Astyanax mexicanus: one gene and its partners. The protein of the gene in region 4 binds, or shares a complex with, the protein of the main gene of each other region. Links are inferred from orthologs where the notes say so. Each region holds a gene or a part of one and is shown on either strand. Other genes may lie near its edges. The genes, in order: sf3b5, rnf113a, srrm1 and snrpf.

Region 1 (8,260 bases), on a different chromosome or scaffold from region 4:
AACTGAAAAAGACTAATAACTCCAAGGCAGCAAAATGGAAGAAATGACCTGGAAAATGGGCAGCCAGACAAAAAGCGCCCCTGAAGCGGCTGCTGGTCCAGCACACTTCATAACCTTCACAGGGCCAGGTGCCAAACACCTCCCGAGATAAGAAATATGACAATAACTCCCTTAAGCATCACTTAAGTGCACAAACGTCCTAAATTTAACCATCCACTATCTTTTTTCCAGTCTTTACCAAACTGATCCACATGTAGCACATCATTTTGTGACTGTAAATTTAAACACACTATGAAGGAGACTTTTCTATGATTCTATGAACAAAACATATAAGTGTGTAATGTTGAAACATGTTAAAAGTTAAATGCATTTAGCTTTTACTTGAGAAGTCAGTTTGCAGTACAAAAAAACAAACAGTATTGTTTTAAAGCAATTTCAGCTTTGTTAAAACACAACATGGATACATTTAGTATTGGTTTTTTTTCCCCCTCATTTTCTTCCGAATTTACACGGCCAATTACCCAACCCACTCATTAGGACTCCCCCTATCATTAGTAATGAATACACCATGAGTCTGCTTCTTTTCGAGCTGCTGCTGATGCAGCATTGCCGAGCAGCCAGCGCGCTCGGAGGACAGCGCAGCTTCTCGGTTCCGGAACATCAGCTCACAGACGCCCTGTGCTGCAGACCATTACAGTCCATTATTAAAATGACCATACATATTATATGTGTTTTCTTTGTGTTCTATAGTGTTGTGTAGAATCCTAAATAGAACCTTTTGGATGAAATGAACGAAGTGTTTTGCTTGGGGAAAACTGAACAATGTAGTCCAACAAAAGAACCCAATGCCATCACTAAAGAACGGGAGTAGCAGCTTAATGGTTGGGTACTGCTTTTCCTCTTAAAGGACAAGAGCAGACTGCCATTAGAGTTGGACTGAGAACAAGTGTTCTCGAGAACAATAGCAGTAGGCCAATCACAGATACCAATCAAACCTGGTAATGAATCATCATACAGCACCTTTCGCAATGTTAAACCAGCAAAGAGTAAACATGCCTCCAACCCCTTCTGCAGGATTTATCACCAATTACTAGAAACGTTGGGTTGAAGTAATTGCTGCTTGAGGGGGTCACAAGATGTTTAATGCTGGGTAATTTTTCTTAATTTATAAATGCAAAGACTTAAACATACATTGTTTATCTTTAATTTGCTTTATTTCATATCTTATTTATTTTATATTATCTTGGTTTATATGATCTATTATATATGGTTTGGTATTTATATTTTATACATCCTATCATTATTATTTAAACTCTCAGTTTCCCCTGTATATCAAGTTTAAGGACCTAATTGTCAATCTTTGCAAGAGCAAAGTATTTGTTCAAGAACTTGAGTTGAGTAGTGAATGGTTGTGTTTATGAAGTTACATGTAGTTAAATTTCCCTCTTTTTTTCAATTTGTAACAAAATTCAGTTGGATTGTAACATTTGCCTATCACGATAAATTAAATTATCAACTTATCAATACAATAAACATTACAAAAAACATTATTGTTTGTACACATGTATGACAGTGTATATATGTATAATGGTCTTAAAATGATAAAATTGTTTATCACAAACATTTTTGGGACCACATATGGTTCACAAAGAAAATCGTATCCTGACAGGGCTATAAAAAAGTTTTACCTCCAATTTTCTACTTACAAATTTAGACTCAAACGGTCAGACTCAAAACTGAACTGTTAAACGTTACACTGAATAAAATTACCTTTAGGCTTTGTTTATTTTGGTTACTCCAATTCAATAGAGTAGGGGTGTGCCATATCGTATCGTACGCAATAATACCGCCACAATTTTTCGATATTGTGAGCGATATTATACCCTGAAATATCGTGCCATATCACCCACCCCCAATTATCACATCAAGGTACAACTTTTATGCTGTTTTTAGCAAAAGAAAAAAAATCACACTGTTCTCATTTCCATTTTATATCTACTAGAGACAGATTATATCTGTCCAGTATCATTTATTTTACTTTAATCCTGGACATATGGAGATATGTAGAACACATTATTAGTACAATGACATTCTGGATTAATTTTGGATTCTGGAGTAATTTTTGGTATTTTTTAAAATCTCAGTTAATGGTGTGCCATATCATATCACATGCAATAAAATAAATAATATTCATTTTCGTGCACTAGTGTAGTAGTTCTTGACATCATTTGAATCATGAATTTTTATTCAGTATTTCGTCATATCGCCAAGAGCATCGTTATCGCGAAAATACCATGAAATATCGTGATATTATTTTAGGGCCATATCGCCCACCCCTACAATAGAGGCTGTATATGCGTTTCTTGCCAGTCTTTACAGCAAGTTAACAGCAAAAATAGGTGTTAGTAAATGATTGTAAAATTACAGAGAGATCACAGCGTATTACTTTATAATAAGAATAGTAATTAATATTTTACAGCTTTCGTAGAGTAAGTTTTGGCCTAAATAAATTCACAATAACTTTGTAAATATTCTTAAAAAAAAAACAAAAAAACATTAACTTTAACGTATGAATAATAACCAAAATAAGAAAGCAAATGAAGTCCATTGCCCAGATGCCCTTATTCTTCTTTTGGTCAGTTAAACTCTGGATGCGGTCGCAATAAATCCGCTCAGCAGCAGCAGCAGAGTAATAAATCTATATTTTATACCTAAACTCCTAATAGCTAAATATCCTAAGAAACTCTGACTCACAATATACACTGCGGCAGCGCCGAGCTCTCCATTATCTCAGCTTAGCATTAGCTCAGCGGCTAAACACGGTCTATTTAACGACATAACATTTAAAACAGGAGATTAAAATCATACCTGGTTGCAGAAATAACCGCTGTGTTGTCTTATCTCACAGTTCTTCCGTTAAAAGTAGATGTTTCGCCTTTATCTCTAAAGTTTCAGAGCTGTTTAGAGATGAAGCGAAAGCTACGAAATGAAGCAGTGCGGGGAGGAACCAGTAACTCTTAAAACGCGCCGAGGTGCAACACAGATCACCCTCCGACAGTTCCGCCGCTCTCCCCGTGTCTCCTCCCACTGCATAAACAATCCGCTATATTATAGTTTCTACAAACAGATTAAATATTCAACACATATTAAGCTACTGTACATATTACAGCTAAACTCACTGCTTACAAAATGTAAATAGGCAAAAAAAGATGAACAATTACATGTATTATTTAGTATTTGCACTACTGTTATTTACCATTTTTACTGTCATTCCATCTCGATCACCATCAATATTGCACTATTGTCTTACGTATGTTTATTGTGTCTTGCTGTATTGAACATATAGTGTCTCCCACTCTTTTATATTATAATTATATATCTATTTTTACTTATTTACTTATATTTATATATCTATTCCTCCCCCACACCACTGCACCTTGTTTTTGTCTCATGTATGTCTATTTGTGTCCCTGCTGTATTGTACACATAGTGTCTCCCATTCTTTCTTTTATTTTATCTATTATCTGTACTTGCTGTAAAATTGGGAAGGAGAGTAACGTAATTTCAATTCTCTGTATGTCCTGTACATATGCAGTATTGACAATAAAACTACTTGACTTGACTTGACTTGTTATGTTTAGTTTTGTACTTAATAACTGTAATATTTGTTGTAGCTTACATGAAACGTACACAATATAAAACATAAAATACAGAATACAGTCAAAAGTCAGGACACGCCTTCTTATTCAATGTTTTTATTTATTTATTTTTTTTGTTTATTCATTTTCTACAATGTAGATTAATATTAAAGACATAAAAACAATCAAGAGACACATATGGAATTAGGTAGTAAACAAAAAAAAGTGGCATAAAATCCCCTGACATAAACCCAACTTTACTTTTGTACTGTATACATGTAATATTTTTTTATACATAAAAAGTAAACAATATAAAACAAAATACAGGATGCATTTATTTATTTATTTATCTTCTACAATGTAGATTAATGTTAAAGACATTAAAACAATTAAGGAACACATATGAATTTATGTAGTAAACAAAAAAAGTGTTTGTTCTCCACAATCCCCTGACCTAAACCTGATCAGCTGAGATGGGTAAAAAACGTGTGAAAGAAAAAAAATAAAGCAGCAATTATTTTTCAGCACCTCATAAAGACACTGAAATTTAAATACCAAGAGTGTGGCACTTAAAATAATCTAAAGTATAAAACATATTCTGGTTTGTTAAACTTCTTTTTACTAAATAATTCTGCATGTGCTCCTGTAAAGCTTTAATATAGTATTCAATATTAAATTTAAAATGAATGTAAAAATATCATAAAAAAGGAAGAAAACACATTAAATGAGAAAAGGTTTGTGCACACTTTTGAATGGTGCTGTATATGCACTATTACTACAGGATATGTAAGATAGAGAGCTTACATATTGCTATATACAGTATTATATTATATTATATTATATTATATTATATTATATTATATTATATTATTAACTGCATTTTTATTCATATCTACACAATCTACAAGATTTCCTTTATTGTGAAAAGTACATTGAGCTGCAATGTGGTTCAGTAAGCTCTTGTTATTTGTAACAGATTTTGCAACAACAATGGAGCACATGTTATAGACACTTATAGTTCTTGTGTTTTTGTTTAAAATGAGAGTTTGTGACATCATGTTTGATACATATCAAGTAAGTAAAGCAACTTCAGAGTTATTATGAAAATAGCAGAGAACAGACTGAGAGGAGTTAATAATATTATATTATTTAATAATGTATATATTCTAGGGGTAACTAAGGAGGCAAAATGGGCTGAATGTTAGTATTTTTTACCTACATTTAAACAAATATAGTGAAAACAGTGTGTGTAACACAGCGTACACTGCACTATATCCTTTTATCGTTTTGTTTTCTCTGCACTTCAGGCTGAAGAGTGAGGTTATAAATGTGCTCACTGGGTTTTTACTTTGTTTAGCTGCTGGCACAAAGCAAACCGTGGCTCTTTGCCATGGATGAATTCCGGCCACATTTGTTTACCTCAGACTTTATTGTCTGAATCAGATTGGCCCTGTATTTTATCAGTCTCTGCAGGAGTACCTTTAAACCTAAAAATGCTGAAATAGTCAAAGCTGGAGACTTCTCTATATTTAATTCAGTTTCAGTCAAGACTGACATCAAGGAGATGTTTTTGCTGCTTTATTAACAAGCAGAAAATATTTATCACATACGTTTAATGGAAATACACAAAAGCCTCAAAATGAAAACATAATATTAGATGTTTTACTATAAAAAGTCCATCCTTACCTTCATTACAGTTTTTACTTTTTAGACCCACCTTACACTGTATGTTTAGTTTTAAATGTTTTAAATGGAGCATTTTCTGCAGCTCAGCTTCTCACATTCAGGTCACTGAGGTCTGGACGCATTGTTCTGAGAACAGCTTTAACAGTTTGATTTAATCAAATGTTCTTTTTCTTTATATATTTTTTTCTTTTTAATTTTCTCACATACAGCTTGTTCACCTCCACCTCCATCCTTTCATCTTCTCACAGATGAAGTACAGACACAAACAACTGTTGTTGTTTTTGATTTCATCTGCTCTCTAACAGATGAAAGCTTTAGATGTGTATATGCTGGGGGACTTATTTTAACCTCATTAAATATACAGTATATGGCCAAATACTGTGACATGAGTCATGGGATAGCAGTATATACATTGATAAGTAGTGCTACTTCAGTGGACAGCTTGGGACCTTCCATAATTGTAATAGTTGCGAGGTGTTACCTTGTCAGTGTCCATGTGAAGAGAAAAGTGGAAGAAATCACATCCACATTCAGTGCAGTAGACCCCACACACATTTCTCACAGGCCAGTGCAGCATTCTTTAGCTTTCAAAATAATAATGGGACAGAATATTCATTCCTGTCTCATGAACTTTGGCATGACCTCAGTGTGTTTGTGGACACCTCTTCTAATAAATGCATTCAGTTGAAGTACTTTAGTTTAAATAGTGTAGGATTATAAAGCTACCAGCATTGAGCTATTGAGCAGTGGAATTGTGTTTGGGAATCTCTGGATTAATCCAATACTTTTGCAATGAGTTGCTTAATGCAACCAAAACCTCACAGCAGTGCTACATACAAATCTAGTAGAAATACTTTCCTGGACAGCAGAGACAGTTAGTCCAACAAAAGCAGGATAAACTGTTTTAATACGCCTGATTTCAGGAGAAACAATGCATGAGCTAGGGTTGCAATATTTTATATTATCCCTCTATGGCATGTTTTTTGGATGTTTGGATTATTTTTTGGATTATAATTTTTTGGATTATTACACTGTTCGTTCAGTTTTTTAATCATTCTTTTTCATATTTATGGCTAATTTGTTTTCATTTACTCATTAAAAACAGTGTTTTTTTATTTGCTGCCTCAGGGCAACAATACGCTGCTCAACCACAACCAAGGCCGTTACACTAAATCAGCGGTTCCTAAATGCTCTGATTGATATATCAAGAGAGATCAACAAAACCTACCAACAAAGAAAAATATCATGCAATAGAGGATTGACATATAGTGTATAATCAGAACAATACATCATTATATCTGTTTTATCTGGTGTGTTTTACTGCCTCAACACTAAACCGAACCTCCATCTGCAGGGTTGTCTGAAACAGGCCTCAGCCTGATGGGCCCACTGGGTTTATCTATTAGGCACAGCAGTTACAGCTCATCAAGTGTTGTCTTGTCTTTGGGGGCGTAATGTCTGAGGGCAAATCTGATTTCCATCCTGATGAGATGAGTCTGCCTGTCTTTCGCCAATCCTGCTTTCATTCTTCTAGTGAAGAGGGATGTTTACATGCACAACATGTTGTTAAGATTCCTCTCATAAGAAAAGCCATTTATTAAACTTAATAAAACACCGGCAAAAATAAACGTGATGCCTATTACACTAATGACAAGCATAGGAGCCTTCACTGTGTGAGACAGAGAGATAGAGGAAACAGTTCCAAGAGGAATGAGTATCAAAAAGGAGCCATTTTCAGGGACATTTTTCATCTGAATGGCTTTCCTCTCTCATTAATGCAATTTAGAGGAAATGAAAGAATGCATTTCATTAGCGCCACAGAAAGCCATAATTCCCCAGTATATCATCCTTGTAATATACAATAATTCCTAATAGGACACGTAGTCTCATTCAGTTTCAGATTTTGTCTGCGAGTTGCTGGTAAGATGAGAAGCTGATTATAATGGCCTTGAATGAACGAAGCTTAGCTGCTCATATTAAGTTGAGGACTGTTTTTTTATGATAATGCAGAAAAGCTGAATGTCATAAACTGGAAATAGAGAAGATGTCTGCAGGCTTTAGTGCTCCAGTGATCTCTGAAGCAGATAAAGTCGTGATAAGGCATCATGTGTGTGTGTCCTGCTCAAGTTGTGCATATCTGATTGTCTGCCATGTTTGTTGAGCACAGATCATCCAGCACTGGGGGATTTGCATTATAGGTTTATGAGTAATAATGGAAAATCGCAGGGCTTATCCGTATCTCAAAAGTCCAGCTTGCTCAGTCTGTGTGTGTGTGTTTCATACTGCCTTTCAAAAAATCATTTTGAGATATTACAGGATGTTTAAACTTAAATACAGTCTTGCTGCAAATCTCAGCATGCAATTCTTTATATTTATAAATTATTACAGGTGTGTTCTGAGTAGAAAGTGGGAGGGCATAAAAGAGCTTCCTCTTACTGCCTTATAAAAGGCTCTCAGACATGCCTCTACAATTTGCTCCAAGATGAACAGAGTTTGATTGGACTGAAGGTAGCAGGATGGGTGTTTCATCAAATTGCCCACTTAAAGCCATATGTCAGCCAGACACCATCATCTCTATTGGTTGTGAATGAGAAATCTGAAATTCTACAGACTGAAAGTGTAGCATCTTTAGCAGTGAATCCAGGTTATGTTTGGCATCCAAAAACAACTGGCTTAATCTGGATAATCTGGAGAGCTCAAGATGAGATCTGGGGAGCTTACATGACAGTTGGATACTCCTAGCAGTGACATAAGCACCTCAGCGTTGCCTCTGAAGACAGGGCTTCCAAATGGGATTTTTCAGCAGGATAATGCTCGCCCACACACAGCAAAGGTTTCTCAGAAAGGTCTCTGTCGGATTGCAACAAACCCTTAGTCTTACTGTTGGATATATGGTGGATATATCTGCCAGATATATCCACCTATTTCACTCTGTT
Region 2 (8,093 bases), on a different chromosome or scaffold from region 4:
CAGCAACAATTTATCTCTATTAAGTTGAACGATTTCCTAAAAAAATACGTTTTTCAGACGTTGTCCAATACGGACCCATACCGGACCCAACTACTGAGAAAGATTTAATTCTGACAGTGTTCATTTAAAGCACCGGAACTTTTCTTGTCTTTACGGTATACGCGCAGTGAACTTCCAATCACGTGTGGTGTAAAATCTTTAAATGCTCTCCTCTGCCAATCAAATTTGTGGCAGACCGCTGCCCTGGCTAGTGAATTGGGACGCGGCCGCAAAAAAACGCTTTAATAAAGAGATAGGGCGCAGAGAACTGGCGAAAAACGAAAACGGGCAGAAACTAAAGACACGCCGAGCGCGAGAGAGAGAGACAGGGGAGAAAGCGAGACGCGTGTGATTGGGGAAGAGCGGAGGGGGAATGGGTAAGGGAGCGGTGTGTGTGTGTGTGTGTGTGTGTGGAGGAGATGAGGTGGAGAGACAGAGAGAGAGTAACGCACAGTGACTTAAATAAGTAACTTTAATCTGATTACTGGATTGGAAATAGTAACGCGTTAGATTGCTCGTTACTGAAAAAAAGGGTCAGATTAGAGTAACGCGTTACTAAGTAACGCGTTACTGACATCACTGATTAATATTGTGTCTAGAAGTCTAGAAATTTTAAAATAATCAAAAAAAAGGAAAGGACAAAAAAAACTTACAACTCGAGCCACAAACAAGGTCTTGAAAGCATCTCCTTGGGCATTTGGATCATTATGAGGATCCCCTGCAAAAAGAAATGAAAGAATGAAGTCGGACTGAGTTGGTGCTCAGGCTGGAATGTGTAACTCTTAAGATCCTTAAAATACATTGCATACTTACACAATTTCAGCTCTGTCTCCACTACCGTTTGCCGCCTCTCCATTTTCTCACGCCTCTGTGAAAAGAACACGACATACAGTCATTAAGATAATGCCAGAAAACACAGACAATGTGTCTCACTAGTCCTTGTTAAGCTTTTTTTCTATCATATAAAAACATCACAATATTCTCACCTTTCTCTCCAACCTCTCCTCGCGCGTTTCGGCTCTTGTGGGTGGCGGTGCATCTCTAGGGTCCTGATTGAAAGGAAGGATAAAGATTAAAAACGCAACACAAGATTAAAATAAAATTAATTAATGACCTGTACAAAACCATTACAGTTGATTTACAACTTATCACAGAGGAATCTCTCTAGTTGATGAGGAGCTAAGGTTTTTAAAAATAGGTAAAAAGATTTATATGTTAAGATCCTAATAAATATTAATAATACGGCAATACCTCTAATGACTAGTGGTTTTGTATATAGTAAATGGAGCTAAATGCTAAACCTTCAAATTAAAAATAATAATTTACTACTTGTTCTGAGTACTTCTTTAATTTCAGTAAAAGCAAAGAAAGCTTGCCTATATATTTTAGTTTATCTACAGAAAAAAAGCTTTTACACTGCAAAAGCACTAGCATTACTGGTACTGTGAGCTGATTGGTTGGCAAGCTGAGCCTCGATATACAGGTAGTGCACATTTAAAAGGCTTAAAATTTATGTCTGCTGTACTGAAACATTTGATTAATAGATCCGTGTTGAAGACAGTTATAAAAAAAATAAAAATAAATAAATAAAAAAAGAAATTTTTAAAGTCTGATTTTGCTCAGTTGCTTAATATGAACATATTCATGTTCGACACATTGCAAGTGTGTTTTCTCCTCTATGGAGATTCTCTGGCATGGCATCGCTAGTTCTCATGTGTGTTTAGTCCGGGTGCGCACGAAAGGAAACGTGTTTCTGGAAAGCAGCCAGGTAAGTCTGTGATTTCCCACAGCAAAAAAATTTGCTGTTTGAGATCCGGTGTAGACATTCAGTTGTGTAGTGTCTCAACAACAAGTCGTGTAGTGTGAATAACGCAGGGATGTGTTTTGGACCAATGGTTTTCTCTTTCTCCATGATTTCATTGCCAGTATGTAGCCGCTGCTCCTGACTCCCAGTCGCAGACTGGGTCAGATATCTAGCATGCCAAATACTTGCTGTGAGTCTAATTCATGTTACACAACTGTGCAAGTGCTGAGAGATCCCTGATTTGGCTCTGAGCAGACTTTTTGTCAGCAGTCAACAAAAAACTGTTGGTGACTGAAAAACTGGACTAAAACAGGGTAGTGTGAACCTGGCATAAGTGTTCACACTACATAAAGTTACCTACAAGTGTACTTACATAACATTAAGTACCTACAAGTGTGGCATAACATGCAATTTTACTAATTCATACCTCGAAGTGCTTGATGAAGGGAGCGATCCCAGAGTACGGCTGGTTGTGGTGTTTTTCATGGGGCAGCTTCTCCAACTGTGGCAGAAACGGAATGGGGTCCCGCGGGGCAAACAAGGCCAGCAGGTTTGGGGGCAGAAACTGAGTCATTGTTCACCTAAACAGAGCAGAGAAATGGCCATTTAACAATATTACACAATATTACGATTAAATGTCATTACATTGTAGATTAGGCCAGCAAGGAATTCACAAAGAAACTAAAAACGTCAAACTCTAAAGAACAGGGTCTGAGACCCACTGCTTGATAAAGGTATGGGCCACAAAGAGACTACAGAGACCAGACAAGTAAAATCAACACTATCAGAGAAGTAAACAACCCAATTCCTGTGAGGTAAAAGTATCAATTCAGAACCCAGTTTGGCTCATTAGACACACACAACATTAAGATAGTAAATTAGCGCTAGCCAGCTAGCTTAGCATTACAAAACTCAATACAAGCAAGCTAAGCTAGCTAACACAACACATTTAATCTACATGGATAAATTTAAATTATTTACTCAATTAATTAAGATAAATTAATCCACCAATACAAACCTACATTTAGTGTAAATCCATAAAGAGTACCAAACTGACGCTGAAACCTATATATGTTAGCTAAATAACCTATGTGTGTGGTAGCTAGCGTAGCGCATAGGGCTTGGTTGTGCTAGCTAGCAGCTAGCCATGTTTAAATAAGCGAGCAAAAGGTGCGCCCTCGACCAAGGTCCCTTACTAGTCTGCACTTAGCTAACGCTAACTCGGTTCCAACTAATACTCTTTTTAACTTAAACTAGCAAACATACACTTTATAAGCCACATCATGAAGACCACACGCACCTACTCCGCTTAACTAAAACAAAATATAATTAAATAAAAAAAATTCTAGCCAAACGTGCCCACTCCCAAAGCTTTCTAGAATTTAGTTCACAAGAGCGCGTATTGGAGCACAGCCCGCTTTCTCCGAGGCCTCGTGTCGGACATTAAATTACCTCAGCTCCGCATCCAATCCGCGCAGAATCTCCGAGCTCCGCAAAATAACGACTTCAGCAGCTCCCACAGAGCCTCCCAGTGTAGACTGTTACTGTAACACCAGTCTGTACTGGTCGCTTTCACTAGTTTCGTTACTGCTCAGTTCTCCAGCTCCTCTCCGCGCTGCGCGCTCTCTCAAAATGGCGCCACGCCGTAAATCGCTACAATTCATGAAGGGGCATTGTTTACGACAGTAGTTCACAGTTGGCGGCATTACTTGGCAACGTCAGAAGGTATCAGTGTGTCCCAATTCAGGGGATGCACCCTTCAGAGGCCGTATTGGAAGAATCCTGCCCCTAAATTGGCACACGATGTTTCTGTATTTATTTTTTCAGTGAGACGTATTTTATCTTTATTATGTGTTCAGTACCTTAAATTGTATATGTTGTAATTGCATGTGCGGCATGTCTTGTATTTTTATTTATAAAACAATTACATAAACTGTTTATTTGTACATATGTATGTATTGTATCATTAAATTATAAAATATAAAAAATAAGAGACCATTTAAAAATGAAGAGTTTCTTTGATTTTACCTAATTAACAACCCCTGGATTATAATCAAGAGAAAGATGAATGATCACAAGCCATCAAACCAAGCCAAACAACTATAATTTTTGCACCAGGCATAGCATAAAGTTATCCAAAAGCAGTGTGTAAGACAGGTGGAGGAGAACATGCCAAGATGCATGAAAACTGTGATTAAATAACTACGGTTATTCCACCAAATATTGATTTCTGAACTCTTAAAACTTTTTGAGTATGAACTTGTTTGCTTTGCATTAGTTGAGGTCTGAAAGTTCTGCATCTTTTTTGTTATTTCAGCCATTTCTCATTTTCTGCAAATAAATGCTCTTAATGACAATATTTGTATTTGGAATTTGGGAGAAATATCCATAGTTTATAGTATAAAACAACATTTTATTTAAACATTCACATATAAATAGTAAAATCAGAGACACATATTGAGAAACTGAAGTGGTCTCTTATTTTTTTTCTTGCTTTCTTAACGATTTTTATATTTTTATACTATATTATCTTATCTTCCTGACCTCCACTCATGCGATGGCACTTCTTCTTCATCCTGCTCCTCCTCCTCCTCCTCCTGTCTAGCAGCTGCCAGCCTAGAAGCCAGGCTCTATCTAGTCAACCCTTAAAAAATTTATGGTATTTAAAATAGCAGTTTCCATGCCTGGATAGGTTTTGGAAAACTAGAAATACCCAGAAAGGTTTGGTAAAATTAAAATTTGCAGGCTACATATGTGTGTTTTCATTTATCGACTGAGAAAAGCTATTTTGAGCTAACAAATATATCAGCTCAGAGTTAGTTCTGTATAATAGCCTTACACAATGAAGCTCTCAGGATCTGACACACATTTTATTATTATTATCATAAATTGTGTGAACATTACTTTTTTTTTATTTATAGTTTTAGTTGATTTTTGATTGTATTGTCCGCACTGATGTTTTAAAGATTGTATAGACATGACAATTTGCCTTGGAGACATGAAAAAGTCCTGAAAATGTATTGGTTAAAAAGTGTATAAACCTGGATAAAGTTACAGTAGGTATAGCGCTGCCACAGGCCTGAAACTGCTGCTGTGAATCCGCTGTCGTATATCCGTGCAGTTCCTCTCCAGGCGGCGAGAGGCGCTGTGTTAAAGCTGTAGCTGCTCTTCTGTCTCTGAGTGTAGTTTATTTTCATTAGTTAAAGATGGCGGAATCCGAGGAGACTAAAGCGACCTGCACGTTTTTGTTCAAAAAATCCAGTAAGAAGTTTTCAGCTCGGAAGAGAAAAGCCAGCGACAGCGACAAAGGTAAACTTTATTAGGCGGTTTTTACTATTTTAGTGAGTGTAGAGGGGTTAAATCTGTTATAATACAAGTAATAAATGCTGAGGAGGAGGCGAAGATTGAGTATTTCATATGTAACGTTATGTGTTCTGTTCCTCCGCGGACAGCGCAGCCTAAAGACTGTAAATTATTATGAATATATCTTTATATTGTGTTTATTTATCTGTAAAGTCCGGACGGGTAACTTAGAGCTAGAACAGAACCACCGCTCTGTTTAAGGTGGAATGAGAGATAGAATTAAGACGCAGCTCCATATTTATATCCTCGGTTTTAGTCAGTGTTTGGTCTGAATATAGAGTTTACTCCAGAGAATCAGGCTCAGTAACTCTGCTCCCTGTGTCAGACAGAAGCAGTGATGAGGAGAAGAACGCCGTGGTCAGAAGAGAGAAGAAACCCGTCTCTGCGAACCCCATGTTCCAGAGGGTGAGTGCACTAATCCAGGTCTTTATGGAATACAACGTTGCCAGGTCCAACACAAATATCCAGCCTAAATCAGTCTAAAACCCGCCCTTCAAAAGCTTAAACTAGCCCAAAATATATGTTTGAAGCAAATGGCAAAACAACCGTGAGGTTACGACTTAGTATTTTTTTTATTTAAGGGATTTATTATCAGTATTGCTGTTTATCTTAAAGTAATTAATAATATTGTGACATTAGTGTTTTATTAGTTCCTTTATAACAGTTCTGTATCCCAGTTAGGAACATTTAATAGTAACATAAGTAGCAAAAAAAATTACTTACTCATATCTGTTCCTGCCCCTCCTGAACTCTCTTCTCTCCTATTTTAACGTTTTCTTCATTACCTGGTGATTTCTGGTTACATTGTTAACACCTCTAAATGCGTTATTTTTTGTGCCTGGTTCTGTAACATTGGCCTCTATGAATCTGTGCCCAACTCAGCACAAAGTTCCAATAAAATGGCTCTTAGGAACCTAACTCGGCTCATTAACCAGAAACCAGAATCATCATTCACCAAAAAATAATAAAATCTTCATCAAAACAGGTTGTCGCATATTTGTCTAGGGCTAGGTCTTTGGGTAATGCCAAAAATTTCATAACGACAGACAGTGCATTTTTCATTTACATATCTGCCTTAGATATAACAGCATATCTAATGTTTTAACAATACAGTGTGTGTTAGTAATTTATTTTGTTAATTAGTGTGTTTTCTATTTGCTTTATTATTTTTGTGACTCTGCTTTGCAAGTCCTGTCTATATTTTATGGTTTTAGTTCATTAACCAACCAAAATCCCTGTTTCAGACAAAGAAGGTGGAGCGGGAAGCCGTCTCATCAAGTGAAAGTGAAGAAGACAAAGAAGCCAAAAAGATCACAGTGGCTTATAAATCCACCCGCTCAGCGGTAAGAAAACCTGCCCCAAGAATCAGTATTATGTTTAATTGCTCTTTTTTGTGTTCAAAGGAACAATCAGTAATAAATGGAAACGAGTGTGTGAAATTGGGGTGGGCGATATGGCTCTAAAATAATATCATGATATTTCAGAGTATTTTTACGATAACGATATACTTGGCGATATAGGAAAACTAAAATAATTCATTCATTTCAGGAATATAGTATAATAGTATAACAGAATAATCATAATGTGGCAAAATAAATTATATAGCATAAAATAATATGATGCTGCAAATATTATTGCAGAATATTTAGAGCATGCATATAAACTGCAAACTAAAACAATTATACAATAAATACACCTTAAGCTTCACAGTAAATAATAGACTTCTTTTAAGACAGAACAGCCCTATTATCACGATATGTATTTTTAATATCATGATATTTCTGTGTCAGGATATATTGTATACGATATAATATTGCCCACCCCTAGTGTGAAATAGCTTCAGGAGTTCAATTTTCAAACATTGGAGAGAGTTTTCTGCCCCACCCTCTCTTTCCCAAATGTTGAGCTCGCGCGGGTTGCAAGAACAATTGTCGACGAGTCTCACTGTTTAGCTAATCAGCACATGTATACATTTGTTTCATTGTTCTAAATGCCCATCTATACTACTCTAGTGGTGGTGGTAAATATGCTTAGCAACCTTACTAGAACTCAGTTCAGCCAAAAAAGTAACCAGCCTGTCCATTTCCATTTCACAACCCTGAGTGTGGAAAAGGGAGTGGGGGAATGGAAGTGGGTAGATTTTAATGCAAACTCCCACATAGATTTCCATGAGGTACCAAATAATTAAAATATAATTACAGCCTTATGCTCTGCTCTCAAGAGCTGCCAGTGCTGTCAGAGTTACTATGGAAAATCTAATCCTTAATGCTTTTTTTAAAATGGTATGTTATTCATATTATTGTTTTATTATATTCTAATGCATTCAACCTGCGTTTTTACATGAGCAGTTATTATGATGATGATTTCTTCTTCTTCTTCTTCTTCTTCCTTTTTAATTCTGTTTAAACTTTGCTGATGGGCTGATTTTTATATGTGAAACAGAAACCTGAAGGGCCAGAGGACATGGGGGCAACAGCTGTGTATGCACTGGACACAGAAAAAGACAAAGACGCTCAGGCCATCTTTGAGCGCAGCCAGAAAATTCAGGAGGTGAGGAACAAATCTGTCAGTGATAACTGAATTTGTAGTTAATTTCACAAAAAATTCTCTTCATCTGTTATGCTCCTGTGCATGATATGTATGCTATTGTAAATCAGTTTATAGAGTTTATAGAGCTGGGCGATATGGGGAAAAGGTATTGATTGTACCATGATATTTAAAGATTTTTTAAAGATATGCAGCTCTGGAAATAAGAGACCACTTAAAAATGATGAGTTGAAAAAAATTGAAATTGAAAACCTCTGGAATATAATCAAGAGGAAGATGGATGATCACAAGCCATCAAACCGAACTGAACTGCTTAAATTGTTGCACCAGGAGTGCAGGC
Region 3 (7,705 bases), on a different chromosome or scaffold from region 4:
TGCTGTGTTAATGAACATAGCTCATTAGCAATCAGGTTAAGATAGCTTAACTGGCTGTGTTAATGAGTATAGCTCATTAGCAACCAGGTTAAGCTAGCCTAACTGGCTCTGTTATTGAAAAAAAAAATACCTTATTGGCCGCTAGGTTACGCTAACCTAATTAGCTTTGTTATAAGAAACAAGGGAAATTAACCAAATTTGCTTTGTTAATGCAAATAGCTTATTAGCAGCCAGGTTAAGCTAACCTAATGAGATGGTTCTGTTAATAAATACAGCTCATTGGCATCCAGGAGAACTGACTGTGTTAATGAATATAGCTCATTAGCAGCAAAGTTATGCTAAGCTAACTTGCTCTGGTAATAAATATAGCTCATTGCCAGCCAACTAAACTACCAGAATTGGCTGTGTTAAAGAATACAACTTATTAGCAGCAACGTTATGCTAAGCTTACTTGCTCTGTTAATAAATATAGCTCATTAGCAGCCTAAGAAATGAACCTAACTGGTTCTGTTAATGAATATAGGTCATTAGCAGTCAGGAAAATTAACCTAACTGGTAGTGGCAGTGAATATAGCTTATTAGTAGTGAAGTTATGCTATGCTAACTTTCTATGGTAATAAATTTAGCTCATTAGCATCCAGGTGAACTAACCAAACTTGCTAGCTTAAAGAATATAGCTCATTAGTAGTCAGGTTAAGCTAAACTAATTGGCTCTGTTAATGCTAGTAGCTCATTAGCAGCCAGGGTAAGCTGGCTAAACAAAACATTTATGCAAATGAATATAGCCTGATTGTTTCTTCTAATGAATATATTGTTTATTATCAGCCAGGTTACTGAATATGGTTATTAGCATTTAGTTTGCGTTAAACATTTTACTAGCATCCGTTCATATCTAGTTATCCCCAGTGAAATAAACATTACTATGTATTTAATTATGTCAGTTAAATAAAACTAATAATGCTGTTATACTAGAAATCCTGGGACAAAAAAAAACTTTTTTTTTCTTTTTCCCATCAAATTGTACTTTCAACCTACTAATATTTCTGTTATTCTACATACTATATTTTACTGTCCTAAAATTATCATTTATCATTTTCTTACTCTGCTTTTGTTCAATAGTATTGTAATGAAACTTGGTTGTCTTGGTTTGACTGCTCTGGGACAGATTTTACTCTCAATTCCCTGTAACCTCAGGGAACCATCATCGGCTATCAGGCTTGATGGTTACATAGTCTTAAGGGTGTTGACCAGAGTGCAGTGTTTGGGATTGGCTCTGGGTGCTTCTCTTAAACACAGTTGTTCCTTATGATGGTCTTGTCTGGTTAGGGGCCTTATTTATTTTTTATGGCACTTAGAAGTTTAGCATTTAGTTTGGTGGTGTGGATTTTCTATAACTAGATATTTATTTTTTATTTAACAAATAACATATGAATTCAGACTGCTCTTATGCTCAAAGTAATGATAATATAAACAGGCACCATCTGGTTCAATATTATTGGTCTTGTCCGTAATGTACTCAATCATATCATTCTGAATTACCACTAAATGCTGCCTTGTATTTCCCTGTTTCTCCATTCACAAAACCTAGCCTTTCATGCTGAAGTTCCAATTACGTTCTTCTGTCCCGTCATCCATATAGCTGTTTAACGTCATTGGGATAATACAAGTACTTCTTTTCAATCTTACTCAAGCTCATTCTCGCTCTCCCTCTCTCTTTCTTTGCCTTACTCTTGCAAATAAGTGAGTATGATGTATAGGTCAAAGACCATTTGTTTTCCAGCCAATTCATGCCAATATGACACTGCAAAAACTGGACAACAGCTCTTACACAGGCCTGGGCCCATGGATAAACACTGCAGTTGGGGCCAGTTCAATTTCAGAAAAGTCAATTCAGCAGGTGAACCAAATTCAGGGGACGAACACAATTCACAACGAATCTGCTCAGTATTACAATTTAGCGTTTGAGACAGAGCATCTCCTGAACTATACACAGAAACTCTCTCCTTCTCCATCTATGGGGTGTGATTTTGGGGGGCCCAACTGATATTGTGTAGAGATAAGCCTTTACAATATGTTAACATTTCATATTGAAGGCACATTAGCTTATTGTTTTCATGCCGAAATTGGGGGAATAAATTGCAGTGTAAATTTATATCAGAAAAAAAAATAAAACAAAATTCTCCCAATGGAAAGGTTCTTTTTTTATTTCTTCAAAGACTGTTTTGATTTCTGACATTTTAAAAGGTAAAAGAGCAAAAAAACAGCATGATGATAGAAATCATGCTAGACGTTTAACAAATGGAATCTTGTGGATCTACGATACTCTAGGATAATGCTTGTAGTGATAATCTGGGACATTCTTCTGATTTTCCTGAGGAAACCCTCCCAAATATTTATTTATCTATCTATATATTGGTAGGAATTGCCTTAAAACACTAGTAAAGATTGTTAATTGAGTTGAATCTCCAAAGTCTTTAGCAAACAGTCATTTTTTTCAGATATGTTTTTAAGTAACACACGTCTTTTAATAGTTAAATTAATTAACTATTTCTTTCTTTCTTCCCTTCTAGGGTAAATGGAATGAAGCATATGCATATATTGTTTATTTTTGAGTTTAAGCAGCTTTAACACTTTTATCTATATTTTATACATCATTTAAAAATAACTAGTTTAAAACACTTTACACACAGGGGTTTAGGATAATGGTTTATATCAAGAGTGTGACTTCAAGTCAAAATAAAATGTGCCTTATTAATATTTATGTCAATGTTAATAGCTTGTCAAATTTGGTCTACCTTCACTGAACTAATCTCCATGATTTAGGGCTCGTCTTCAATCGGTAAGTCATGAGATTTTGACTGTAGGATACAGTACGATACTGTACGATACAGTACCTGTCAAAAGTTTGGACACCTTAAATGCAGCGTTTTTTAATTGTTTTAAAACTTTTTGCATTGTACATTAATACTAAAGCCATCTAAACTATTAAAAAACATAGGGAATTGTTTAGTAATAAAAAGTCTTAGACAAACCAGAATGTTTTATAGTTTAGATTCTGCAAAGTAGTACCTCTTGCTTAGATGACAGTTTTGCTCATCTTGGCTGGATTTTCTCACTCAGCTTTATGAGGAAGAGTCACCTGGAATTGCTTTCAGTTAACAGCTGTGCTGATCTTGCCTCTTAATGTGTTTTAGAGCATTTCAAGAACTTTAAAAGTATCCTGAAGTGCCGTCACAAAGACCATCAAAACCATTATGATGATCATCAGAACCGCCCCAGGAAAGGAAGAGCAGGAGTTTCCTCTGTTGCACAGGATAAGATCATCAGAGTTACCATCCTCAGAAACCCAAAGTTAACAGCTCCCCAGATAAGAGCATCTAAATGTTTCAGAGTTTTTTGGTTTATTTAACACTTTTAAGTTTCATCATAATCTGGATGACTTCAGTATTTATTTACAATGTAGGAAAAAAATTAAAACATTAAAAAGGAAAAGATGTGTCCCATGTTTTAAACGGTACTGTAAATTATATACTTTTGAACTATTGCTCATTTTAGAGGAGCCAAAACAACTGTCATTTGTTTTGTTTTTTTGTGTGTTTTCTAAAAAAAAAAAAAACATGTAATATAAAATTATTTATTGGGGATTGTGTTCGAAAGGTGTTGATACCCAGGCCTGGAAGATATACCATGCAACATTTTATATCGTTAGCCTGGAAACTGTGTTTTTCCCACATTTGCTTCTCATAAAGTGCTTTGGAATAATAGTGTTATTACAATTGGAATAAAATCATTGTTTTTCCCTAAACGGTATAATCAAGATAACGTTTTTGTTTTATTTAGCAAGGATGGGAATATCCTTTTTTATTATTTTTAATTGGAAATAATCTATTTCTTATTTCATTTAAAGAATGTAAAATTGTTATTAAAACTATTCCCACTGGTTTAAATCATTTAATGAATACTGAATTAAATTGTATAACATTACCTTTTTTACCTCAAAGACATAATTTGTTATATTAAATAAAATAAAAAATCTCCTGAAACTGGAACTGTATTATATTCATGAAGAACATTTTTTTTGAAGAATACACCCAAATTCACATTTTTTTAACTGAAATTCAATGTATCATGTAAAGCTTTAGAATTGTTAATGACACAAAAAAACACTAAATTTCTAAAAAGCTATGATGGGATTTTTGACATGTAAGTGTATTGGGGGAAATGGAACGTTTGGGTTTTTTATGTTTATGTTCTCATTGATATTATATATATACATTACATTTTGTATTGTATTGTATGTATTATACCGTTTGTATATGTGTGCACAGCATATTGCAAAGTGCAATGAAAAAATATCCTTAATAGTGCGCACTACTTAGTGTGTAAGTGCGCAGGGATCCAGAGCGCCAATCGGGACGGGGCCGGGCTTCTTCTGGTAAATGAGCTCAGCAGCGCGGTGGGTTGTGGGGGACGGCAGCGCGTTTTCCACAGACGGTTTTTGTCGCACCTCTCGGTGGAAATGGACGCGGGATTTTTCCGCGTAAGTTCCCGTTCAAGCTGGATTTACTGCGTTTTGGCGGGACGTTAGGAAATAGGGGGTTACTGTGGATGTATGTAGTTAATAACCTGGCGTTTATTCGCCTTATTTTACTGCAGTATTGGAGCCCTGTACCGCGGCGCTAGCAGTGATTAGCCGGTATGCTAGCTAGCTTAGGTAGCTTAGCTAAGCTAACTTAGCCAAGCTAACTTAGCCTAGCCTGGAGAGCGAGCGTAGTGCGGAATGGCAAGAGAGCGGCTAGGGGATATGTTATTAGTTGAATAGGTTAATTTCGGTATAACAGACTTCTGTAAATGTCTTTAGGTCGCTTGTCTTGATGGTATATATCTACAGCCACGCTTTTAATCTGGTTACATATCTTATTAAAGTGTAGAATAGTCGTAACTCTTAAGCGGCGGTCTGCGCGCGGCCGGGCTGTGTTCCCATTAAACCTGTCGGTTAGCATGCAAGCTAACGTTCCTCTTAGCTTCCACTCGCAGAGCAGAAAACTGCGCTGTTTCTGCTTTTAATACCAGGATTTAACACAGTTTACTGATAATTCTCTTTATCTGTAGATTAAAGAAAACACGTAAGGAGTCAGGGCGCTGTTAAATTAGTCTGGGAATACCGCTGAATAGGTCAGGTAAGATTAGGGTAGCTAGCATTAGCTGTCTCGTGCTTCCATCAGATCGTGTGGAGGAAATGCTGTGGTTAATTAGCTTGTCAGCTAACTTTAACTAACTATAGCTAACTTTATGTAGTAAGAGTCTATAACATAGTTAGTGTTAACTAGTTGACTATGCCATTTAAATTCAGTATATTTAGGGATGTACAGATAAGGGAATTATTTGCTGATATCAAATAACGTTATATATGAAAAGTTGTGTATCTGCCAATATACAGTTTACAACTATATAAAAAGGGTCCATTATTTAATAGTATTTGCTACAGAACGTTTTAACTAATTATTTACTGAAATTTGTTAAGACATTGTTAACCATTACAACATAATTTAACTAACGTCTCAATTTATTACCATTTGTTCATAACATTATGATGCATAATTTAACACTAATTGTATACCTTACATTTTAGATTTTAAGCAATTGTGTCCGAACAATAGAATTAAAGATTTCTTATGAGAATTTTACTTATTTACATTTTTGGTTTCCAAATTTATTTAGGTACAGTTAACTAGTTCTTACATAGACTGGTCAAAACGTTAACCCCTCTTTTTTAACTTAACAGGTTAAATAAAACAAATATATTAAAAGTAATAAATATGAGCATAAATCAATGTGTTTTAAAATGTATTTATTTTTTTATTAAATTAAGGAAATAATTTATTATATTGATAGAATGCAATGTTAAATAAAGGGAATGCTGCTTTTATTAATTTTGTTTCAAATAAGGAAATAATTAATTTAAAGAAACAGATTGTTAAGCTTCAAGTTATGTCTTTGAGGCAATGCTTTATTCAGTTGCTGGATTTAAATATTACATTGATTAAACAATTATATTAAAAGAATGATCTATTCAGTTAAGAGGAATTTTTGTTCAATCGTGGAAACGGAATGACTGACACATGACCACTGCAGGGTTAAATAAAATTGTTATTGGTTCTCTTACACACTCCACAGAATTGTTATGTGCATGCTACTTATGTTAATAGTGTTCTTCTAATGCTCATAATGATTTATCAATTTGCAAGATAACTTGGATGATTTTTGGGGTAAATAGAAGAAAATAAGTTAGTCAACAGGTTAGGCTTCCTACCACACCACAATGTAAATAATTTATAACTTTAGTATCACAAGTAGGAATGTGTAAGGAAGATTTGAAGGCGCTTTAAGAATCCAGGGTTTTGGCTTATCTTAAATCCATGCTTTACACCAACAAGGTTGTTGATGTCAGTTTTTCCTGGGACCTTGAAATTAATCTGCATAACTTTCCAATTCATACACTTAACTCTTTTATGCAGGGAACGAGTGCGGAGCAAGATAATCGCTTCAGCAACAAACACAAGAAGTTGCTGAAGCAGCTGAAGTTTGCAGAATGTCTGGAGAAAAAGGTTTGACAATGTTTTTATTTTGTTTTACAGCATGAACATATGTTCTTGTTTGTCTGTTAGTTTTCAATGTTTTGTTTTTTTGACGTATTTTCTTTCAATTTTTTTGTCTTTAAGGTGGATATGACAAAGGTAAACCTGGAGGTCATCAAGCCCTGGATCACCCAGCGAGTGACGGAGATCCTTGGCTTTGAGGACGATGTCGTCATCGAGTTCATTTTTAACCAGCTGGAGGAGAAGGTAGCCTTCATTGATTCTGTTCCTCTGCTCTTTTTGTGGTTACATGCAGGCAGGATTTGCAGTAGTTGTTCTTTTTACATCATCTGGATGGCAGAGGGGTTGGAGAAAAGGGCATTGCAACAGACATGTGCTTTAGAGTCTAACTTGAACCCATTATTGTAGCAGCACAGTGTCACCTGTCTGGTAGAAATGGGTAAAGAATCATATGGACTTGCTGAAGATGCTGAACTTGCTTTGTGGGGTTTTGACGTCTTTTCTAATGATGATGTGATTTATGATTTAAAAGGCCTGAACCAATATGGATGTAATACCTTGCAACAGAAGTATAGCACCAACACCTAATTAGATCTCACCTGAGCCCAAAGTCTCACTGAACCCAACTCTCCCTTGATGATGAACTTTGTTTTTGGAGGTGAGTTATGATCAGGGATTGTACGTATAGAATCGTGTCAAATTTAATTAGTAGTTTGCTTTTTTCCAGAATTGAAATTGATAATTTCAGTTTAAAATGCTTTTGTGTTTGGGCACTAACTGTGCAGAACCAGATATCCCATGATTTTTTTTAATGTTAATTAGCAAAAAAAGTTGAAGTAAATAGTTAACAATATTTTGTACTTTATATGCAAAAACAGTGTTTTTATATGCTTTATTTGCAAGAACAGGTAAAACTGCTCATTTTTTAGAAATGCATATTTTTTCCTGCATTTAAATGGTTTGTTATAAGTAGTTCTAAGATAACTAGAAACTGGACGTGTTTAACTTTTAGCTGTCTGTCTTGGTAAATTAACTAACTATAAAGTTGGTTTTGAATCTTTGGTGGCTGTGGTGAGGACTCACAAAAGGTATTGCCTCGTCTCAAT
Region 4 (8,124 bases):
TGTGATTCCTTTTCTAATAGATGAAATCATATTTTAAAAATGTATTCTCCTTTTGAAACCATATAGTGTCACAAATGTACAAAAATGGATGAAGGGACAAGTACTTTTTAAATGAAAATTGAAAACATAAATTAATTTACAAAAAAATATTTTAAAACCTGAACACCTCAGAAGCTCTTATCTTCTCAAATGCAGACATTAAGAAGATCACTTCAGACCAGGCTTTATAAGCATCCGATTGGTCAATTTGTTTACTCTTGGCCTTTTATGCATAACCTTCCTGCAGTGCTTCTGTATTTCAGCACAATGTCTTAGATTGTCATTGGAAAGTATACAATGTAAAAAACATGTAAAAGAGCCAAATCTAATTCCGAGCTACATTTTTAACATTATATTACATTACATTACATTTGGCAGACGCTTTTGTCCAAAGTGACTTACACTAATGAAGTACAAAAGTAACAGACGTTAAAGGTAAAACATCTTTAGACAGGGCCTGAAGGAGGTCAAAGGGAAATAATGGGACAGAGGAGTAGAGGAAAGGAAAAGGAAATGAGGTTAGCAGTAGTTAGTGTGTTATAGGTGTTAAGAGAGTAAGTGCTCTTTGAAGAGCTCTGTCTTCAGGTAGGAAGGAGCTGTTCTGTCATCACCTTGTAGGCGATTGTAAGAGCTTTGAATTTGATACGAGCATCAACTGGTAGCCAGTGGAGCTCAATGAGCAGTGGGGTGATGTGCCCATTTTGGCTGATTGAAGACCAGACGTGATGCTGCACTCTGGATTGTCCTGAAACATGCTGAATTTTTGATAAATGGGTTGATTTATGCCAGATTATCCTCAGGGTGCAGAAAAGAGTAAGGTTAATAAGTATAATAAATGATTGTTTAATAGGGCTTTGAACTCAAGAGGCTGTGAATCCTCATGTTCAGTCATTAAGTTGTAAAGCAGATTGAAATGTAATTGGAATGACATAAATGTATAATTATAGTTATCAAATGTAATCAAAATGGCATATTTTTGACAATCTCTTTGTTGCTGCTGAAGATCCTTGTAGCACAATCATCTGTGTGTTACTTATGTATCCTAGAACATAAATAAGTCACATTGTGGGTGCAAACCTGATTCCAAATTACGTATAAAACTCATAAACTCATAAGATAAAAAGTAACTTCACTGTTGGTTCTATATATTCCATATACTGTTACTGTCCAATAAAAACAAGTATCTCCAAAACAGCAACTTTTCAGAAAAGAGGTGAAACCATCTTAACTTTTAATATGGAAGTCAATGTAAAAAGAGGTTTTTTTTGGTAATTTTGGAGATTTTCTATTTGTGCATACATCAAGGAATGTTGACATATAAGGGAAATAAGGGAAAATTTGTGTGTCCAAATTATGTAGTAAACTAAAAATCTACAGAAATCAAGACAATTGTTTTTTTTTTGCACAGCAACATACTGTTAGTTCTTAAATATAATATGCAGATACTGAAATTGTTTTCCTTATAAATAAATAAAAGTCAAATCAAATTACATTTCGAATACACAGTCAAACATACTTCAAAAAACTAGCATTAATATGAACATAAGGGTATTAGAGGGTAATAAAATATCTTTTTTTTAAGATTTTGGACTCAAGAGGCTGTGAATCAACATGTCTTTGTGGCCCAGTGGCCTAATGGATAAGGCATCAGCCTCCGGAGCTGGGGATTGTGGGTTCGAGTCCCACCTGGGTCGATGTTTAGGTTCCACATAGGAGTGAACAGTTCTAGGAGCTGGCCATTGTGGGTTTGAGTCCCACCTGGGTCGATGTTTAGGTTCCACATAGGAGTGAACAGTTCTAGACTTTGGCCCTTGGACTATAGTCAAAACACACCAAACTTAACTCCTCAGTTAATTACCAGGCAAAGTCAGTGGTTTTAAGTAGGCCAGCAACCAAACTCACTTTTAGATTTTTCATAAGTACTACCCCTGGAATGATTTCCAGTGTAATTATTTTTTTATTTTATTGCTGCTCCCACTCATAAACATTTTGGGTAAATACTTCTGTGTTGTGATTGATGTTTCAATAAACCTCAATTTTAATTTATCCTTTTATCCCGTTTACCCTAGGGTGCAGGACTGTAAAGAGTATAAGGTAAGAGCATAAGGGAAAAAAATAATTACTTGACAGGGTTTGGCACTCTAGAGGCTGTTAATTACCAAGACATTGTGGCCCGGTGACCTAATGAATAAGGCATCAGCCTCCGGAGCTGGGGATTGTGGGTTCGAGTCCCACCTGGGTCGTTGTTTAGGTTCCCAACAGGGGTGCACAGTTCCAGACCAGAGCACACCTGATTTAACTCCTCAGTGAATTACCAGGCAAAGTAGGTGGCTTTAAGTAGGTCAACTGCCAAACTCACTTTAAGATTCATCATAAGTAATACCCATGCAATGATATGTGTATTTTTTATAATTTATCTTCTATATGTTCTTTCTGTAAAACAGACGATTAAACAGTTCATTGTATAATTGCTCCCACTCATAAACATTTTGGTTAAATACTTATGTTTTGAGATTTTTTTGTTTCAATAAACCTCAATTTCAATGTATATTTTGCCTGTTTACCCTAAGGGTGCAGAAAAGAGTATATGGTAATGGAATAAGGGTAATAAAAATAGTTTGGCATGGGTTTTGCACTCAAGAGGCTGTGAATCAACATGTGTTTGTGGCCCAGTGGCCTAACGGATAAGGCATCAGCCTCTTGAGACACTTTTGGGGTTTCTGGACGCAGCCATGCAATGATTTCCAGTGTAAGTAATTTTATAGTGTATCTCCTAAATGTCCCTTCTGTAAAACAGAACGTTAAACAGTTCGTTGTTTATTTGTATAGTTGTTCCCACTCAAAAATATTTTGGGTAAATTTTTGCCTCTTTACCCTCAGGGTGCAGGACTATAATGAGTACAAGGTAAGGGCATAAGGGTAATGAATAATTTTTAACAGGTTTTTGCACTCAAGAGGCTGTGAATCAACATGTGTTTGTGGCCCAGTGGCCTAATGGATAAGGCATCAGCCTCCGGAGCTGGAAATTGTGGGTTTGAATCCCATCTGGGTTGTTGTTTAAGTTACCACTGAGAAATGTGTTTGAAGGCCACGTATAAATGATAAATAACTACATGTTTAAGAAGGTGTCCCCTGTATAATTGTACTAGTAATCTGTGGAAACGATCAGGAAAATACATGGAAGGTCTAATGGGGCTGATCTTTTGTGTTTTTCCTGCTCTAACACATGTGACTCGACCAGTCAGGAATTGCATGTTTTAAAAGAGGAAAATACTTAAATGTTCATGAATGTGGTATTTTTGGTTTACCAATTTGAACAACTGGATAGGTATATGATTTAAGGTGGTGCTCCAACAAGTGTAAACAAGATTGAAATGTGCTGGGAATTACATTTAAGCCATTTAAATGTATGATTATAAATAATTTTCATATTCAAACATACATGATACAAGTAGCACTAAAATATCTTAATAACTGTCCCATTACATGAAACAATAAGATAAGATATTACATTATTTTCATAAAATAGTTGTTTGAAAAGGTTTTAGCCTTAAGGGGCAGTGAAACACACTGTGTTTGTGGCCCAGTGGCCTAATGGATAAGGCATCAGCCTCCGGAGCTGGGGATTGTGGGTTTGAGTCCCATCTGGGTCGTTGTTTAAGTTCCCAAAAGTAGTGCAGCTCTAGACCTGGAGGGTCACCCTCCAGTGTTCGGAAGGTGGACTACTCAAGCACACCTGATTCAACTCCTCACGTAATTACCAGGCTAAGTAGGTGGCTTTAGATTCTTCATAAGTACTACCCAGCATAATGCATCTCGTAAATGTCCCTACTGTAAAACCGTAAATTAAGCATTTTGTTATTTAGTCTTTATTTACTCACTTTGCCTTTGGGACTGAGTTTTAAAATAATAATAAAAATGTTGAACGGCGAATTCATTTTTTTGAATGGCAGTGCCATCTAAAGGCCAGAGCGGGTAATGCGGTTGAAGAGAACAACATTAGATAGATAGATAGATAGATAGATAGATAGATAGATAGATAGATAGATAGATAGATAGATAGATAGATAGATAGATAGATAGATAGATAGATAGATAGATAGATAGTACAAGCACCGTGAGAAACCTAAAACTATAGAAAATGCTAACTGAGGCTTGAAAAATAAACTATACCTTATAGGATATATACAAAATACTGCTGTATGTAAGTGTTAATAGTGTGCAGGAGTGGGAATGTACAGTAAAGTATTATATATTTTTATCTAATTTATTAATCTAAGAAAAAAACTCAGACGACTTTCCTCTCCCCCTGTCACCCATGTAAAATCCAATGTAATGTTTTCCCTCGTGCCCTGTCATGTGGCTCCGTTCACTGCAGATATACAGCTCTGGAAAAAAAAGAAACCACTTAAAAATGATGGGTTTCTTTGATTTTACCAAACTGAAAACCTTATAACAAGCCAAAGCTTATCAAACCGAGCTGAACTGCTTGAACTTTTTGCTCCAGGAGTGGCATAAAGTTATCTAAAAGCAGTGTGTAAGACTGGTGGAGAAGAATTATTCCACTTTAACTTTATGAATATGAACTTGTTTTCTTTGCATTATTTGAGTTCTGAAAGCTCTGCATCTTTTTTGTTATTTCAGCCATTTCTCATTTTTTGCAAATAAATGCTGTAAATTACGATAATTTATTTGGAATTTGGGAGAAATGTTGTCCGTAGTTTATAGAATAAAACAACAATGTTCATTTTACTGAAACATATACCTATAAATAGAAAAATCAGATAAACCGATTCTGAAACTGAAGAGGTCTCGTAATGTTTGTTCTAGAGCTGTATAATAAGTGAGTTATCTTTCACTCCTCTATACTCTGTACCGGGCGCCCCCTGTTGGTCGTGATGAAGTGTAGCCGCTGTAAAGCTCCTCCGGCGCGGCGCGGGGGCGCTGTGGTACGGGCGGCTCTATTGTTTGCGGGTCAGAGCTCGACTCTTCACTCGTGGTCCTTCCCTTTCCTGGCGGCAAGGCGTGCGAGTGAGCTTCTGAAACACAAGCGTCTGAATGAAACACTTTTGAAGGTTTTCCGAAGCCTGATATTTTTTGATTAAACATGGTGAGTACTCAGCGTGACCGCCTTTAACCACACGGTCGGGTTTAGTTTAAAACTGTGATTACAGTGATGAGGACCTGAGTGCTGTGGTTAGCTAGCATGCTAATGCTAACCGGTTGCTTTGACCCGCTGCAGCAGTTCATTCATTTAAAGTAAGTTAGTTTAAAGCGACTGAAGTAAAATACCATACAGATGAGACTTTCACTAGTTAATGCTGTGTTATGGGTGAACTGAATGTGGTTTAAGTCTGAAGTCTTTGCTTGTGTAACAATATATTCAGTTTGTAATAGTCTTAGCAAGTTAGCTTTAGCTAGCTGTGTAGCAGTAGCTAACTTACGTTAGAGAAACGTAGTGTTCGTGAATGAACTTTAGCGAAGCTAGTGTTAGCGTTAGCTAGCTACTACAGCTTGCTCAGTCTGCTGGAGTAAAGCCCCACTATGTTTATTAACTATAGACTGAACCGCTGTACTCCCCTTCTGTTCCACAGAGTTTACCGCTGAACCCGAAGCCGTTCCTGAACGGTCTGACCGGAAAGCCCGTGATGGTGAAGCTGAAGTGGGGTATGGAGTACAAGGGTTACCTGGTATCAGTGGATGGATACATGAACATGCAGGTAACGTTATTCTAAATACACTTTACCCTGGTCCATAACTGATGTACAGTAATTTAGAGAATAATTGTCTAGCTATACAATATCTCCAGCATGTTTTTGTTACCCTTCTTGGTGTAGGATTATTTTGGAGTTTGTGTTAGTGATTCGAAATTCCGACTCTTTTTAGCTAGAGAATCGGTTCTTTTGGTTCGGCTCACTAAAAAGAGCCGGTGTTTTGACGAGTTGTGCTACCATGTGAAACCGCGCTACCGCGGTGTATATTTAACGTATTTAAAAATACGAGAAAAAACGCCATATTTGAAAATTCTCGCGGCAGAAGTCTCGGTAGGATTTGGAAAGCCTGATTCTATATATTATGATACAGTTCAGGGAAGCGGGGTGAGTAGTTTTATTGCTTTTATTATGAACTGCCATTTACGTAATTATTTACATTTGTAACACTGAATCTTCACCCGCTAATTTGTTATGTTGGGTAGTTGGGGCTCTTCTACTAGTAGAGGTGTGCCATATCGTTTCGCACGCGATAATACGATATTGTGAGCGATATTATACCCTGAAATATCGTGCCATATCACCCACCCCCAATTATCACATCAGGGTACTACTTTTATGCTGTTTTTAGCAAAAGAAAATTCACACTGTTCTCATTTTCCATTTTATTTCTAGTAGAGACAGATTATATCTGTCCAGTGTCATTTATTTTACTTTAATCCTGGATATATTGAGATGTGTAGAACGCATTATTAGTACCGTGACATTCTGGATCATTGACTTCTGTTACAAATCTGAGTAATTTCTGGTATTTTTTAAAATCTCAGTTAAGGGTGTGCCATATCATATCACGTGCAATAAGAAAATTTAATATTTATTTTGGTGCATTAGTGTATTCTTGAAATCATTTTTTAAATTCAGTATTTCGTTATATCGCCAAGAGTATCGTTATCGCGAAAATACCATGAAATACTGTGATATTATTTTAGGGCCATATGGTGATATGGCCCTAAAATAATATCACAGTATTTCATGGTATTTTTTTTTTATTCACCCCTATAGTAGAGCATTATTCACCCTCACAATGTTGTGGTAGTGGGTGAAATAAGTGTCTCTGCTGGTGAGCAGCAAATCTAGCAAAGCAAACTTCAGGCATCAAACATGTCTTGGCTGTTCAACTATGGTTACCATAATGGAAGTATTGAGTAAATTTGAGTGTCTACAGTTTACATTGTTCTCTTAATTTGACTCTTAAATCTTAAGTTTGTTTACTTATTGTGTGCCAGGAGTTGACAGTATGCTTTAGAGGTTGGCAATAAGATTCTTATCATACTTTTTTCCTACAGTATTTTTTTTTAAACCTATTTGAGTATGCCTTCAATTCTTTAAGAACACTGATTGTACATTTGATTAGAGTGTATTTCGCTTTACTTCAGAGTAAAAAAAAACATCTTACGTATTTATAATGACTTCAAGGGCATAATTGTGACAGTTAAAAAGTGCTTAGTTTAGTAGATAAACATTACAATTATTCAACATATTTCTATTTTTGTCTTTAGTTGGCAAACACAGAGGAGTATGTGGATGGAGCTTTAGCAGGTCACCTTGGCGAGGTGCTTGTCAGGTGAGTGGCTGTACTGATGATATTGCTGCATAGTGCATATACAATATAACCACTGTAGTGCATTTGTTCGCTACAACAGTCAATCAATGTGGAAAATGTATCTCTTATTCTTAAGTTGATTGTGCATTTCTTTAACCTCAACCTGTTTTATGTTAATTGTTTGCTAGATAGCAATTTGGCCTGAGCCAATCCATTGTTTTGGTTCTGTTTCCAAAAACAAATTATTGTGAAATGTATAATGAATAGAACTGTGTCAGATGTACCAGGAACAGAGATATAAGATCTGTACTAATTAATTATCTGTAAACTGGGGAGAGAATGTAAATTAACTAATTGTTTTCTTGTCCTTCACAGGTGTAACAATGTTTTGTATATAAGAGGTGTAGAAGAGGAGGAAGAAGATGGGGAGATGAGGGAATGAGGAGTATGCTTACAGTTAAAGATGTATAATTTAGTTTTAGTTGTATGTGAAACATTGTTTTTTTTTCTCCCCCTTTTGTAATTCATGTGTTAAAATGTTTTGTACACTATAGAAGCATAATTATGATGGCACAAGTGTGCAAATAAAATTATGCATTTTGTATTTGCTTGTGTTCCAAATTTATTTCAAGATGTATGGATGTTTTCGTTTAAACTACAAATGGGTTAGGGTAAAATACAATGTATGTATACTTTTACTATATCTGTGGGGCTAATATTTAACATTTAATGGAAGTTTATTGCTATACATGAGCCTCAGGCAAGCTACAA

What was found.
Region 1: snrpf (region 4) and sf3b5 share a complex: the UniProt entries of both Homo sapiens proteins name them as parts of the minor spliceosome. The link is inferred for Astyanax mexicanus from reciprocal best matches to the Homo sapiens genes SNRPF and SF3B5.
Region 2: snrpf (region 4) and rnf113a share a complex: the UniProt entries of both Homo sapiens proteins name them as parts of the minor spliceosome. The link is inferred for Astyanax mexicanus from reciprocal best matches to the Homo sapiens genes SNRPF and RNF113A.
Region 3: snrpf (region 4) and srrm1 share a complex: the UniProt entries of both Homo sapiens proteins name them as parts of the minor spliceosome. The link is inferred for Astyanax mexicanus from reciprocal best matches to the Homo sapiens genes SNRPF and SRRM1.

The regions. Positions count from the first base shown.
Region 1 is NC_064414.1:43,716,142-43,724,401, reverse strand, and holds the start of sf3b5 (splicing factor 3B subunit 5), read right to left. Parts: upstream 3,072-8,260; 5' UTR 2,869-3,071; intron 1-2,868. UniProt on the Homo sapiens protein: Component of the 17S U2 SnRNP complex of the spliceosome, a large ribonucleoprotein complex that removes introns from transcribed pre-mRNAs.
Region 2 is NC_064426.1:20,935,980-20,944,072, forward strand, and holds the start of rnf113a (E3 ubiquitin-protein ligase RNF113A), read left to right. Parts: upstream 1-5,014; 5' UTR 5,015-5,049; coding exon 5,050-5,152; intron 5,153-5,531; coding exon 5,532-5,611; intron 5,612-6,450; coding exon 6,451-6,549; intron 6,550-7,648; coding exon 7,649-7,756; intron 7,757-8,093. Other genes in the region: snrnp70 (U1 small nuclear ribonucleoprotein 70 kDa), read right to left, coding at 693-757, 853-907, 1,026-1,088, 2,271-2,417. UniProt on the Homo sapiens protein: Required for pre-mRNA splicing as component of the spliceosome. As a component of the minor spliceosome, involved in the splicing of U12-type introns in pre-mRNAs. E3 ubiquitin-protein ligase that catalyzes the transfer of ubiquitin onto target proteins.
Region 3 is NC_064421.1:41,980,145-41,987,849, forward strand, and holds the start of srrm1 (serine/arginine repetitive matrix protein 1), read left to right. Parts: upstream 1-4,440; 5' UTR 4,441-4,519; coding exon 4,520-4,540; intron 4,541-6,518; coding exon 6,519-6,608; intron 6,609-6,722; coding exon 6,723-6,845; intron 6,846-6,851; exon of another isoform or gene 6,852-7,705. UniProt on the Homo sapiens protein: Part of pre- and post-splicing multiprotein mRNP complexes. As a component of the minor spliceosome, involved in the splicing of U12-type introns in pre-mRNAs. Involved in numerous pre-mRNA processing events.
Region 4 is NC_064415.1:29,818,578-29,826,701, forward strand, and holds snrpf (small nuclear ribonucleoprotein F), read left to right. Parts: upstream 1-4,982; 5' UTR 4,983-5,146; coding exon 5,147-5,149; intron 5,150-5,633; coding exon 5,634-5,759; intron 5,760-7,309; coding exon 7,310-7,374; intron 7,375-7,728; coding exon 7,729-7,795; 3' UTR 7,796-7,957; downstream 7,958-8,124. UniProt on the Homo sapiens protein: Plays a role in pre-mRNA splicing as a core component of the spliceosomal U1, U2, U4 and U5 small nuclear ribonucleoproteins (snRNPs), the building blocks of the spliceosome.